Ovis aries: one gene and its partners. The protein of the gene in region 3 interacts with the protein of the main gene of each other region in a biochemical or structural test. Links are inferred from orthologs where the notes say so. Each region holds a gene or a part of one and is shown on either strand. Other genes may lie near its edges.

Evidence for each region. The genes of interacting proteins can lie anywhere in the genome.
Region 1: the proteins of KAT2B (region 3) and CTBP1 form a complex in vitro, tested with the Homo sapiens proteins (2 studies listed by BioGRID, with this or other methods). The link is inferred for Ovis aries from reciprocal best matches to the Homo sapiens genes KAT2B and CTBP1.
Region 2: of the proteins of KAT2B (region 3) and histone H2B type 1-B, one has a biochemical effect on the other in vitro, tested with the Homo sapiens proteins (3 studies listed by BioGRID). The link is inferred for Ovis aries from reciprocal best matches to the Homo sapiens genes KAT2B and H2BC3.

What each region holds. Positions count from the first base shown.
Region 1 is NC_056059.1:117,891,774-117,895,769, forward strand, and holds the start of CTBP1 (C-terminal-binding protein 1), read left to right. Parts: upstream 1-1,189; 5' UTR 1,190-1,371; coding exon 1,372-1,411; intron 1,412-1,653; exon of another isoform or gene 1,654-3,810; intron 3,811-3,996. UniProt on the Homo sapiens protein: Corepressor targeting diverse transcription regulators such as GLIS2 or BCL6. Has dehydrogenase activity. Involved in controlling the equilibrium between tubular and stacked structures in the Golgi complex.
Region 2 is NC_056073.1:30,871,959-30,875,894, forward strand, and holds the start of histone H2B type 1-B, read left to right. Parts: upstream 1-1,502; 5' UTR 1,503-1,548; coding exon 1,549-1,929; 3' UTR 1,930-3,936. UniProt on the Homo sapiens protein: Core component of nucleosome. Nucleosomes wrap and compact DNA into chromatin, limiting DNA accessibility to the cellular machineries which require DNA as a template.
Region 3 is NC_056054.1:278,356,311-278,359,821, reverse strand, and holds part of KAT2B (histone acetyltransferase KAT2B), read right to left. Parts: intron 1,867-3,511; coding exon 1,658-1,866; intron 336-1,657; coding exon 209-335; intron 1-208. UniProt on the Homo sapiens protein: Functions as a histone acetyltransferase (HAT) to promote transcriptional activation. Has significant histone acetyltransferase activity with core histones (H3 and H4), and also with nucleosome core particles.

The DNA.
Region 1 (3,996 bases), on a different chromosome or scaffold from region 3:
GAGAACCCTGGTCTCGGACAGCAGGGGCTGGAGGAGTCGCCTCAGGGGCCCCATCCTGTTAACTGAGAGAGCCAGAGGGGTGTGCGGGCCAGACACGTGCCCAGGTCTGGGGGTCCGGGCTTTCCCTTGTGAGTGGTTTTGTCTGTGTTCAGGAAAGTTCTCTGAGACTTGCTGAATGTTCATTTAACCCTGTTTTCTCATTTCCCCTAAATGTTCTAATTAACCCAATTTGGGAGGTAATCTCACAGGTGAGTACCAAGCACGAATTTAAAAGCATCTGTTCTGTGGCTAGATGCCCAGTTCCCCTATCGACGCTTATCAAACCCACCCACCCTTTCTCACTGGCTTGTGGATGTGCAGGATGTGGAGGCCAGCTGCGCTCAGCACGGTTCCTCGCGTTTCACCAGCCAACTGCTGTCCTGCTCAGCGTGCTTTTCACCTGTGAAGACAGGGGCACTGCCCGTCTTCAAGGCCACCTGCCAGCATTCCCACTGCCAGGACACCCCTGCTCTAGACATCACGGTCTCCCAGGGTCAGCCTCCGTCCTTGCCCATGACCGGAGCACCTTGACCTTGGGGCCTGGCGACCTCCCACCCTGGAGAGCCCTCCTGACCCTCGAGTGCCAGGACCCCTCGGGAGTTCTGGAACGAAGCACAGGTCGCTCGCTGGGGCTGGGGGTGGGGTGGGGGAGGTCGGATTTACACCGACTTCGGCCACATACCTGGCCGCTTCCCAGGGACCACTTCCACCGCCCCGGTTCCGGGGGAGCTGCCCCGCCCAGGCCTGTGCCCTCCTCGGTCCCCGGATCTCAAGCACAAGGGCCGGTTATCTCAGAGGAACCTCCGGGGGCGGCGCCGCTGCCTCCCCCGACCTCGTGGCCCCAAGGAGCCCAAAGGACCCTTAAAACCCGGGGTCGCAGACGCCGCTCGCTCGGCGGCCGGCGCGTGGGTGCGGGGATGGGAGCACGCGGGAAGGTGCACGAGGGGCTCAGCGGGCTCCAGGCCGGGGGGCCGCGGCGAGAGCGCGCGCGGGGCCCGCGGGGCGCCCGGCAGGTGCGGCCGGCGGGGCGGGGCGGGGCGCCGGGCCCGGGGGGCGGGCGGGGCGGGCGGGCGCGGCCTGCAGCCGCCCGCGTGGTCTGCGCGGCGCCCGCTCCTGGAAACAGGAGGCCGCCGCGCCGGAAGCCCCGCCCGCGCGCGCGCCCTGTCCCCGCCCGGTGGAGCGGCTGCTGGCGCGGCGCGGCGGCTCGGCACGGCGGCGCCCGGGCGCAGGCAAGCGGGCGGAGCGGCGGACGGCGCCCAGGCCGCGCCACGCGCCGGGCTCGCGGCGGAGCGCGCCGGACTGGTCGGGGCCCGCGGCCGCCCGCACCTTTCCATGGGCAGCTCGCACTTGCTCAACAAGGGCCTGCCGCTCGGTAAGGCCGCGCGCGCGCATTTCCGGCCGCGGGGGCGGGGCGGGGCGGGGCCGCGGGGGCGGGCGGGGCGGGCGCGGGCGCCGGCTTTGTGTGCGAGTGCGCGTGCGCGCCGGCGTCCGCGCGCCGGGGGCCGGGGCCGCGGGGGGCGCCGTGCGCATGCGCGGGCTGCTGCGTGCGCGCCGGCGCCCGGGGGGCGGGGCCGGGGTCAGGGCCGCGGGGGCCGCCGCGCGCGTGCGCGGGCTGCTGTGCGCGAGTGCGCGTGCGCCGCCGCCCCGCCCGCCCGCCCGCCCGCGCAGGTGACACAAAGGGGTGCGGGGCCCTGAGGACCGTGGCGGCCGGGACTCCGCGCCCGAGGCGGGGGCCCTGCCGGCCTGTCCGCCCTGCGGTCCCGGCTGGCGGGGCTCCTGCCGGCGGGGCCCCGCAGGGAGGCCGGGCGCGCCGGCGGCCCCGAGTCCTCTGGGGCTGGGCCTTCCGGGGCTTTGCGCCCCCGTGCACTGCGGCCCCGCTGTGGAAACGTCTGACGGGGCGCGGCGGCGGGGGTGACACCCGGCCCGGGCCCGTGTCCGCCCGAGCGGCCGGACGGTTGTGGCCGCGTCCGTCTCACCCCGTCCCCTCCTTGCTCTGTCAAGTGTGGGGAGCAGGCGCACTCCGTGCCCGGGCGGCGCCCCGAGCCTGCGGCCGGGGGCGGCCCGCGGTGGGGCTTTGCTGGCCGCCGCGCGCCGCCGCCGTCGGGCCGGGCCGTGTCCACCTGTCACTGCCCCCGAGCAGGCCCAGCTCCCCCGGCCGGGCCCCCCTCGCGCTGGGGGCGCGTCCGGGCCCCGGGCTCCGAGGTCTGTGGACGCAGGAGCGGCCGTGGGTCCGGGCGGGGCTCCCTCTGGCCGGTGCCTGCCTGCCGCGGAGGGTCCCCCCCCACCCCCGGCCCTGGGCTTGCCGGGAGGGCGGCCTGTGGCGGGCAGCCTCCTTTCCGGTGATGCTCTTCTCTGTGGTTGGTTAGGACAGGCTCGCTGTTGGGGCGTGCGATGGGATTGGTTTTCTTCCGAGCCCGCCCCGAGGAGTGATACCACCCCTCCCGTTTGTCTGGATGACTGGACAGTTGGGTCGCACATGAGGGGTCCAGAGTGGGGTCTGCAGGTCTTACCCCGCGGGGGCACCTTCTCCCTCTCCAGGATCCCCCCACCCAAGTCTCAAATGTATGTACGCAGAGGCAGACAGACACTCAGGAGAAAGCTCGTCTCCAGCAGTGTGGACGGGCGGGTGCCCTGTGGGTTAGCGTCTCCTGTCCATTCTTGCACGGGGCGGCATCCCTGAGCCTCTGGACGAGTGGCCGCAGCAGGCAAGAGCGCAGGCCTGGCGCTCAGGGAGCCCAGGCTGAGCCCCTGCCTGGTGCATGGTCGTGGCCTTGTGCTCTCTGCGCTGTGGCTGTAGAGGGGCTGGAGCGTTAGAAGTGGGGCCACGTGACGGAGCGGGTGCCACCTGTCAGGTGGAGGGGCAGGGCGGGGGATGGGGAGGGTGCTAGGCCCTGGAGGTAGGGGGCAAGGCTCAGGACCGGGGTCCCTGTGCAGACTGTCCCTCCGGAAGGCAGGAGGGTGGCGTGCAGGGCCGCGGTTTGTTTCACAGTGAACCTGCCCCTCTCTGTCACTTGATTTGGGTGAAGTTTTCCTGGGACTCTTGAGCATCACGAAGGTAGCAGGGCATGTGCACACAGGTGGGCGTGAGTGAAGACGGTGGCAGAGATGAATTCGAGTGGCGAGGGGTCTTCGTGACACATACGTGCCTCGCGTCACGGCTTTTATCTAGCACGTGTGCGGGGCGCCTTTTGGTTTCTGAGGAGCTGAGGACACTGCGCTGTGAGGCTGACTCTTGGTGGGTGGGCCTGCTGCGGGTGCTCTGAAGCCCTGTGTGCCTGGGGGAGCCCCCTGGCCTTGCCTCCAGGGGCTCAGCATCCACCACAGCCAGACCCGCCCTGTCAGTGTGGCCAGAACCCTGCTCAGACGGCTGTGCTGGGGGCAGGGGTGAGCTGGAGAAGGCGTGGCTGCTGCCGGCTCTTCCGACAGAGTGACACGGGGGTGGGCGGGGGGCCTTGGTGTGTCAGCTGTGACTCGTGGTCAGCCAAAGGGCACATCCTGACCGATGGGCCGGCTTTGCAGAGGAGGATGGGAAGGTACCAGGGGCAGTGACGCATGCGCTTCCTGCTGATGAGGCGTGTGCAAGGGACTGCGGTGACCAGGGGGCCGCAGTGTGCAGGCCGGAAGCCTGGTGGAGCGTGGGGGCCGTGGGGCCGGGGAGATGGCTGGAGGGCTGGACGTGGGGTCAGGGACCCTGTTCGTGGCTGCAGAGTTTGGAACTTGAGTTTGAGGCGGCAGTTCTGGGGCTGGAGCGGAAGCAGAGGCTGTTCGGAGGTGAGCTCTGGGAGTGTCCGCTTTGCGATGCTCCGTAGCCCTGCACCAGGCGGCATGAGCCAGTGCGTGCCCCTGAGCCAGCGCTGCGGGTGCGCTGAGGCCTAGGCCTGGGCTCTCAGGAACCCGGGGCGTTCTGCAGATGCAGGGATGTGCTGTGACCAGTCTGGGGGCTCAGCGACTCTGGTG
Region 2 (3,936 bases), on a different chromosome or scaffold from region 3:
TGATTGGATGAATTACTTCTACACCTATTTCCTATGCCTTTTTTTTTAAATCTAGGCGACCTGAAGGAATTTTCCTAAATTGTTTCATCTTATTGCCAACTTCAATGTACATAACGAGCCATTTACCCACCATGTTAACTTTTGATTCAGTATACGGGTGGGACCTGATATTCTTAATTCTTGACACGTTCTCAAGATTGTCAGTATTTCTGCTCCAATCCTAAATTGAATACAATTGATCTTTCTCCCCCACAGTTGGGTCAGCTTTAAGTAAATCTCGAACTACCAGGACTACCACTTTCTAACTTTGGTCATCAGATCTCCCCTAATTCTGAGTTTATCTTCTGTAAAACTACATGCCAGGGTCCCTGGGTGGATGATTTTAAAAAATCACATGCATGCAAAGGTGGAATTGATGACATATATACACTGGATCCTGATAAACTTCCATGGGGGGGCGGGGGGATTGTTTTAAAATTTTGAAAGCAAAGGCAAGAGAAAAATAATCTTGGCAAGAGTAATTGCTTTTTGTTATCCTCAAGACTAAGTACCGCTCTAGTCTCCCCTTCTCTTTATAAAGGCCCTTGTGGATTACAAAGGTTTCGCCAGCTATGCAGTAAAATAATGCTTGTGAGAACATTTCCAGAGTCTTTGTTTTAATGTCATTTGTCTTTTTACAATTAACCACCTACGCAGCATAACCTGGCTACCAGCTTTTTTTTTTTTTTTTTAATAAAAATGTGGATGGCTGTGAAAAGTCTTTGAATAGTTTATTAAAAAGTTTCTTCTTTTGTCTAGGCTTTACTTCCCCTTCGCCTTGTGGTGACTCTCCGTCTTCTTGGGCAGCGGCACCGCCTGGATGTTGGGCAGGACGCCGCCCTGAGCGATGGTGACTTTGCCCAGCAGCTTGTTCAGCTCCTCGTCGTTGCGGTTAGCCAACTGCAGGTGACGCGGGATGATGCGGGTCTTCTTTTTGTCCCGGGCCGCGTTGCCGCCAGCTCCAGAATATCAGGCGTCAGGTACTCCAGCACCGCCGCCAAGTACACCGGAGCGCCGGCTCCAACCCGCTCGGTATAGCTGCCCTTGCGGAGCAGGCGGTGCACTCGCCCCACTAGAAATTGTAAACCAGCCCGGGAAGACCGAGTTTTGGCTTTAGCTCGAGTTTTGCCTCCTTGTTTACCACGTCCAGACATAGTTACTTTGTAAAACTCAACAGCAAAACTTGTGAGCAGGAAAAAAAAAACCCTGGACGACCAAGGGGGGATAAAAATATTTTTTTAATAGACAGTAGAGGGATGCGCCACTTAGGTCTCCTATTGGTCAGAAGGACGAAGGTTTTTCTATCCAATAGAAAGAGAATATGTGTATCCCTTATTTGCATAAACCCCTCCCTCCAGACCTTAGTGAACCTGTACTGATCTTACCCAATCAAAAGTGAGAATTTTTCATTCCTCATTTACATTGAAGCGCTATAAATATCTGGTTTTTGAACTCATACTGGTAATCTTAGTCGCGGAGGCTATCATCTAACGTTTCTAGGGCAAAACAATGCCTGAGCCGTCTAAATCTGCTCCCGCTCCTAAAAAAGGCTCTAAGAAAGCCATCACTAAAGCACAGAAAAAAGATGGCAAAAAACGCAAGCGCAGTCGTAAAGAGAGCTACTCTATTTATGTGTACAAGGTTCTGAAGCAGGTCCATCCAGATACTGGTATCTCATCTAAGGCCATGGGTATCATGAACTCCTTTGTGAACGACATTTTCGAGCGCATCGCGGGCGAGGCGTCACGCCTGGCGCATTACAACAAGCGCTCGACCATCACATCCAGGGAGATCCAGACGGCCGTGCGCCTGCTGCTGCCCGGGGAGCTGGCCAAGCATGCTGTGTCTGAGGGTACCAAGGCCGTCACTAAATACACCAGCTCCAAATGAGTGCCTGCATAGGCAGTTAATCCAAAGGCTCTTTTCAGAGCCACCCACTTTGTCGAAGAAAGACTGTAACTGCCGTTTTCTCGCGCGGTAAATGCAATTCTGTCCTATTGATTTAAGCATCTACATCTACTCTAGTGGGGTTAATAGTTGAAGCAATTTTGGAGCCAGAACCTCTAGCTACTTGAAAAGTCTCTTGGCATTTAAGAGACGTTCCCCGAAAGACACATCTTCCCGTTTCCCATGGACTAAGCATCCAGATGCTTGGAAATGCTCACTCTTCACGAGGCCTCTTAAAATTTTTGATGGTGATTAGAATTTTCCTTCCGGGTAAGGAAGTGGTTGGGGGGATTTCAGGGTCCCGATCCTCAAGGCATCTTTATGCAGGTTGTCTTTTCAGGGCAGGTTGCAGGGAAGGCAAATCAGTGGGGTTTTCTCCCTGTTATTGGGGAAACTAAGCAAAATCACCTGTTGTTCCTTTAGCAAACCGCGGACACTTTTATAAGGTATTAAACTCTGCACATGGTTGAAATGAGATTTTCTAATTTCTCATTATAATTGTATAGTGATGGAAACAGCCAATGTAAAGCCGTTTCCATTTTTCTTGCATTCCTGATATCTGGGTTCCAGTTTCCTGGGTCATTTACCTTCCTGGGATGGCACTAGAAGAGGTTGAAAGTGTGGCACTCCCAATTCTAGGAGGGGAAATGGTTTGAATTTTCTGACCTCCCCATCTGGTGTCACCTCATTTGCAGACTAGGAGGGCCCCAGGTGGAGAGGAAGGTGTGCTAATTTTTCTTGGGAAAATTTTTTAAGAGAACATACTACTCCCAAAATAATCCTGATAGGAAGGGCCTTGGTTGTGGAAAAGGAGTCAGTGGGGCTGGATGAGGGGAAGAGCCACGAAAAGTCAGCGGTTGACTGCATATTAAAAAGGTAGGGGAAAGTCTTTTCTTTGGTTTATAAGCACCATATTTAGGTGACATACATCAGTGTGTTTGGATAAGGAAATAAAAACTCGAAGTAGAATTTCTCAAAAAGACCACTTTTAAATTTTGGAGTTAAATGAACTTTTCCCAGATCCCACACAAATTAGGTGACTGCTATATGAGAAGACTTCCCTGTCTCAGCATACATAAAACATACCTGTGAAACAGAAGCTTGTCTTAGAAGTTAAAAATCTTGGTTTTTAGATTGTAACCCCCTCCACTCATCTCTGGGGGGAAAAGAAAGAAAAATTGAACTCAAGCTGCAGTTTCAGAATTGCTCTCTGGAGGGATGAGATCTTAGTGGTAATATAATCTCAGTCTCTTCAAAATTATCTCCTGGGGTAGAACTTATTATTTGCCTGCTTGCTTGCTTCTATCTTCCTTCTCCTTGCCCCTTCCTTTCTTCCTAATAGTTGATATTTTACAGAACTATATACAGTCAGCAAAAAGACCAGGAGCTGACTGTGGCTCAGATTATGAACTCCTTATTGCCAAATTCAGACTTAAATTTAAGAAAGTAGGGAAAACCACTAGACCATTCAGGTATGACCTAAATCAAATCTTTAATGATTATTTCAGTGGAAGTGAGAAATAGATTTAAGGGACTAGATCTGATAGAGTGCCTGATGAACTATGGATGCAGGTTCATGACACTGTAGGAGCAAGACCATCCCAAAGAAAAAGAAATGCAAAAAAGCAAAATGGCTGTCTGAGGAGGGCTTATAAATAGCTGTGAAAAGAAGAGAAGTGAAAAGCAAAGGAGAAAAGGAAAGATATACCCATTTGAATACAGAGTTCCAAAGAATAGCAAGGAGAGATAAGAAAGACTTCTTCAGGGATCAGTGCAAAGAAATAGAGGAATATAATAAAATGGGAAAGACTAGAGAGCTCTTCAAGATCATTAGAGATATTAAGGAAACATTTCATGCAAAGATGGGCTCAATAAAGGACAGAAATGGTATGGACCTAACAGAAGCAGAAGATATTAAGAAGAGGTGGCAAGAATACACAGAAGAACTGT
Region 3 (3,511 bases):
CTCTGAGGTCCAACAAAGCCCAGTAGAGAATGACTGTGGGTGTGGAAGCGTGTGCCCCCCCCCCACACACACACACACACACTTGCAATGAGAGGATGCTCCTCAGAGAGTCCAGGACTCTCTGGACGTGGAGACCCTGCCACGCTCTGCAGCTTCTGTGAAAAGCACCACATCCTGCATCTCTTCTGAGACCCTGGGTGAGCCTTACCTTGACTTGTTCATTAGAGGTTACAGCGCAGAAAACAATCTCTGTGAAGCCCTGGGATGGAAACATCCGGAAGCAGATACCGCCAATGACACGGCCATCTTTAATTAAAGCAAGGGTTTTGTGTTTCCTGGAAGAATAAGGTTGCATCACTGTTTTACCTCCTGTTTGGGGTGTTCCTCACTAACACATCAGGAAAACTGGAAGGGAGGGGGGGTTCTTTCTTGATTTTTCTGTGGAAACTGCCTCTGTCTGGCCACCATCTCACTAGAACATTCTGTAAGTGAATGTCTTAGAGTGAGCCTGCCTCCCAAGACATCCCCGGAGTGTTCATGAGGACAAGCGCCAGCCACCTGAAGGGGCCTGAGCCCCTAGACGAAGAACAGAGCCTGTGGACAGGCGCTGACAGGTGGTGAAACAGGGTCATGTCCGATGCCCACAAGCCCAGGGGGAGCAAAAGCCAGGGACATGGGCACACGTTTCTGAAGAGTTCACTCTCACTCAGAAATACCACAGAAGCTATAAGGAAATGAAAACACAATCCATCTGCACGATTTGCTAAAACCTGCCTTCCAGAATTCCATCAGGCCTTCTGCCTAAAACGTCACTCTGAACAGTCACGGGCATGGGCCACAGTCCACACGGGCAACTGGGCTCTGTATGTTAAAATGCATTCAATTACGGAAGCTCCCTTTCCTGTCTTTCCCCTTTTTTATGCAATGGGTGATCAAAGTGACCCTAACAGCACAGTAATCTTGCCAGGGCTTACAGGCCCAGGCAAGAGCTGAGCCTGCTTAAGACGCCAAAATCAGAGCCTGGCTGTGAGGAAACTGGGGCATCCGCTCCAGGTCTGTATGTCCCTCCACTGATGCAGTGGCCGAAGCGCAGGGCGCCGCCGGCAGCCTGAAGCAGGAGCCTCGGTAATAGAAGCTAGTCAGCTGCTGGGAAACTCGTCTGCATGCCTGGGGCCGCGGCCACGGCAGGGACGTCGCTCTGCCCGCGCAGCTGACAAGCAGCAGCAGGACGCGGTGGGTGACTGTGCCTGACTTTCACTACCCGAGCGGTTCCTCTCTCCTTTACAAAGGAGAGTGAAGTCCCTGATGGCCCAGTGAAGACCTGACCTTTCAACACAGAGGGTGGGGTCAAACCCCCATTTGATTCCTGACCAGGGAGCTGAGATTACACGTGCCTCAGGATGAAAAAAACCAAAACATAGGACAGAAATGATATTGCAAAAAATTCAAGAGACTTTAAAATGGTCCACATCAAGAAAAAGCGCTTCAAGGCTGGTTCACGTTGATGTTTGGTAGAAACAGACACAATTTTGTAAAGCAATTATCCTTCAATTAAAAATAAATAATTTTTTAAGTAAAAAAAAAAAAATCTTAAAAAAAAGAATGCATTTTACAAAACACATCAGGAAAGTGGAAAGCAGAGCCGGGCACGACTCACGGGTCGAAGACGAGCCGGGTGATGTACTCCTTGGGCATACGCGGCAGCTGGTGCGAGAACACGTTCTGCAGCCCCACCAGCCACATGAGCACCTTCTTGTTGGGCTTCTGGCTCAGGGAGTTGCCCACCACGTGGAACTCGATCACACCCCTGCGCTCCTCCAGCCTGGCCGCCTCGTCCCTGGCCGAGTGTGCCGACAGAAAGCTGGTCTGGGAGGAGGAGACAAGGGGTCACACAGGGCGCCTCCCTAAGACGGAAGGGACAGCTCACAGCAGCGCCCCTCCTCCGTGTGCTAGTGAGATACGCATTCCTGGGTTTCGGGGTCCCAACCGGTAACACACAAGCCATGAAAAGGCAGCTAGGCAGAGCGTTTTGCCAGACCAGAGCCTCCCACGTGTCCATGGAGACGTGGTACAGACCAGGAGTCACCAGACTTTCTCTGAAGGGCCAAACAACTCATGTTTGGATCTGCAAGTCAGGAGGCCTCTGCGGCAGCTGCGGACTCCGCGGCGGGGTGAACACGGCTGGGACCATGCGGACTCCGCGGCGGGGAGAACACGGAGGGACCACGCAGACACCGCGGCGGGGAGAACGTGGCCGGGAGCACGCAGACACCACGGTGGGGAGAACACGGAGGGACCACGCAGACACGTGTGGGCAGGGCAGAGCACCCGAGGACTTGATTTAATGGGGGAGGCAGCCTGCGTCTGTCCTGTGCGCTGCAGCCAGCCAGTCCTTGGTTTTCGGAATCCCGTCTGGCTGAGCACCCTTGGGATCCCAGACCCCAATTCTCCCTGCAGGCCCATGAGTGGTAGTCACGTCTATACTACCAGCACCTCTCTTTCGGAGGAAGAGAGGCTTCTTTGCAAAGGAGTCGTGTTGACCACTCTCAATCAAGCTGGCAGTACAACCTCCTACCAGCACCCTGCGCCCCATCCTATTAACCCAGGCAGTGGGGTGCAGGTCAGTGTTCAACAAACAGACCCCCAAGGCAGAAGGGCCAGCTGCTGGCACTGCCCGCTTCACTGGTCTACAGCTGATGCTGGAGGCCCATCTGCCACTGTGGTCAACACGTTTAATGACCATCTCCTAAAACTCCTGAGAATTTAACAGGTGCCTTGTGCATACCAGTACAAGGCAACTTCAGGACACTACTCAATCCACCCAACAAATCGTGGAATGTGTGATGACATCCACACTTCACAGCTGAAACAAACTGAGCAAAACTACTCTGTGGAGTCACTAAATCCCGGAAAGACATGTACACAGAAGGCCCCAAGGACTGGACACCCAAAAGGAAATGGAAAGGGCAACTTTACAAGGAGATCGCTCTCTTAACAGCATTCCAATCCCGTGAATTATCCTCAACTGCACAAAATAAATCTCTAAGGAAACACGACAAATTAAACATGGATACCTTCACCCAGCAGAGCCATTCTAAAAAAAATTGTTACAGATGTTTTGAAAAATCATCTTATTTCTTCATTTCCTGGCAGCTGTCAGAAACATCTAGGACTGCTTTGCGCCTGGATAAGACAGGAGATGACAGCAGCCCTTTTGCCCCAAAGGCTTTACTTGAATCTAATCATCAGTGAACAGACACACATACAGGGCCCTTATGCCAAAGCAGGGCTCTGCAACAATGCCGCTGCCACAAAAGGCCAACAGAGGGCTGAGAAACTGCTCTGGAATAAACTAAACAGATTAACAAGCTGAAGAGATCAGAATTAAATGCAACATGTGACCCCAGACTGGTCCTCCAACAACAGGAATAGATACCATAAACAACAGAATTAGGGCAGATGGGCAATCTGGATATGGGCTGTACATTAGGCCAAGAGTAACATCACAGAC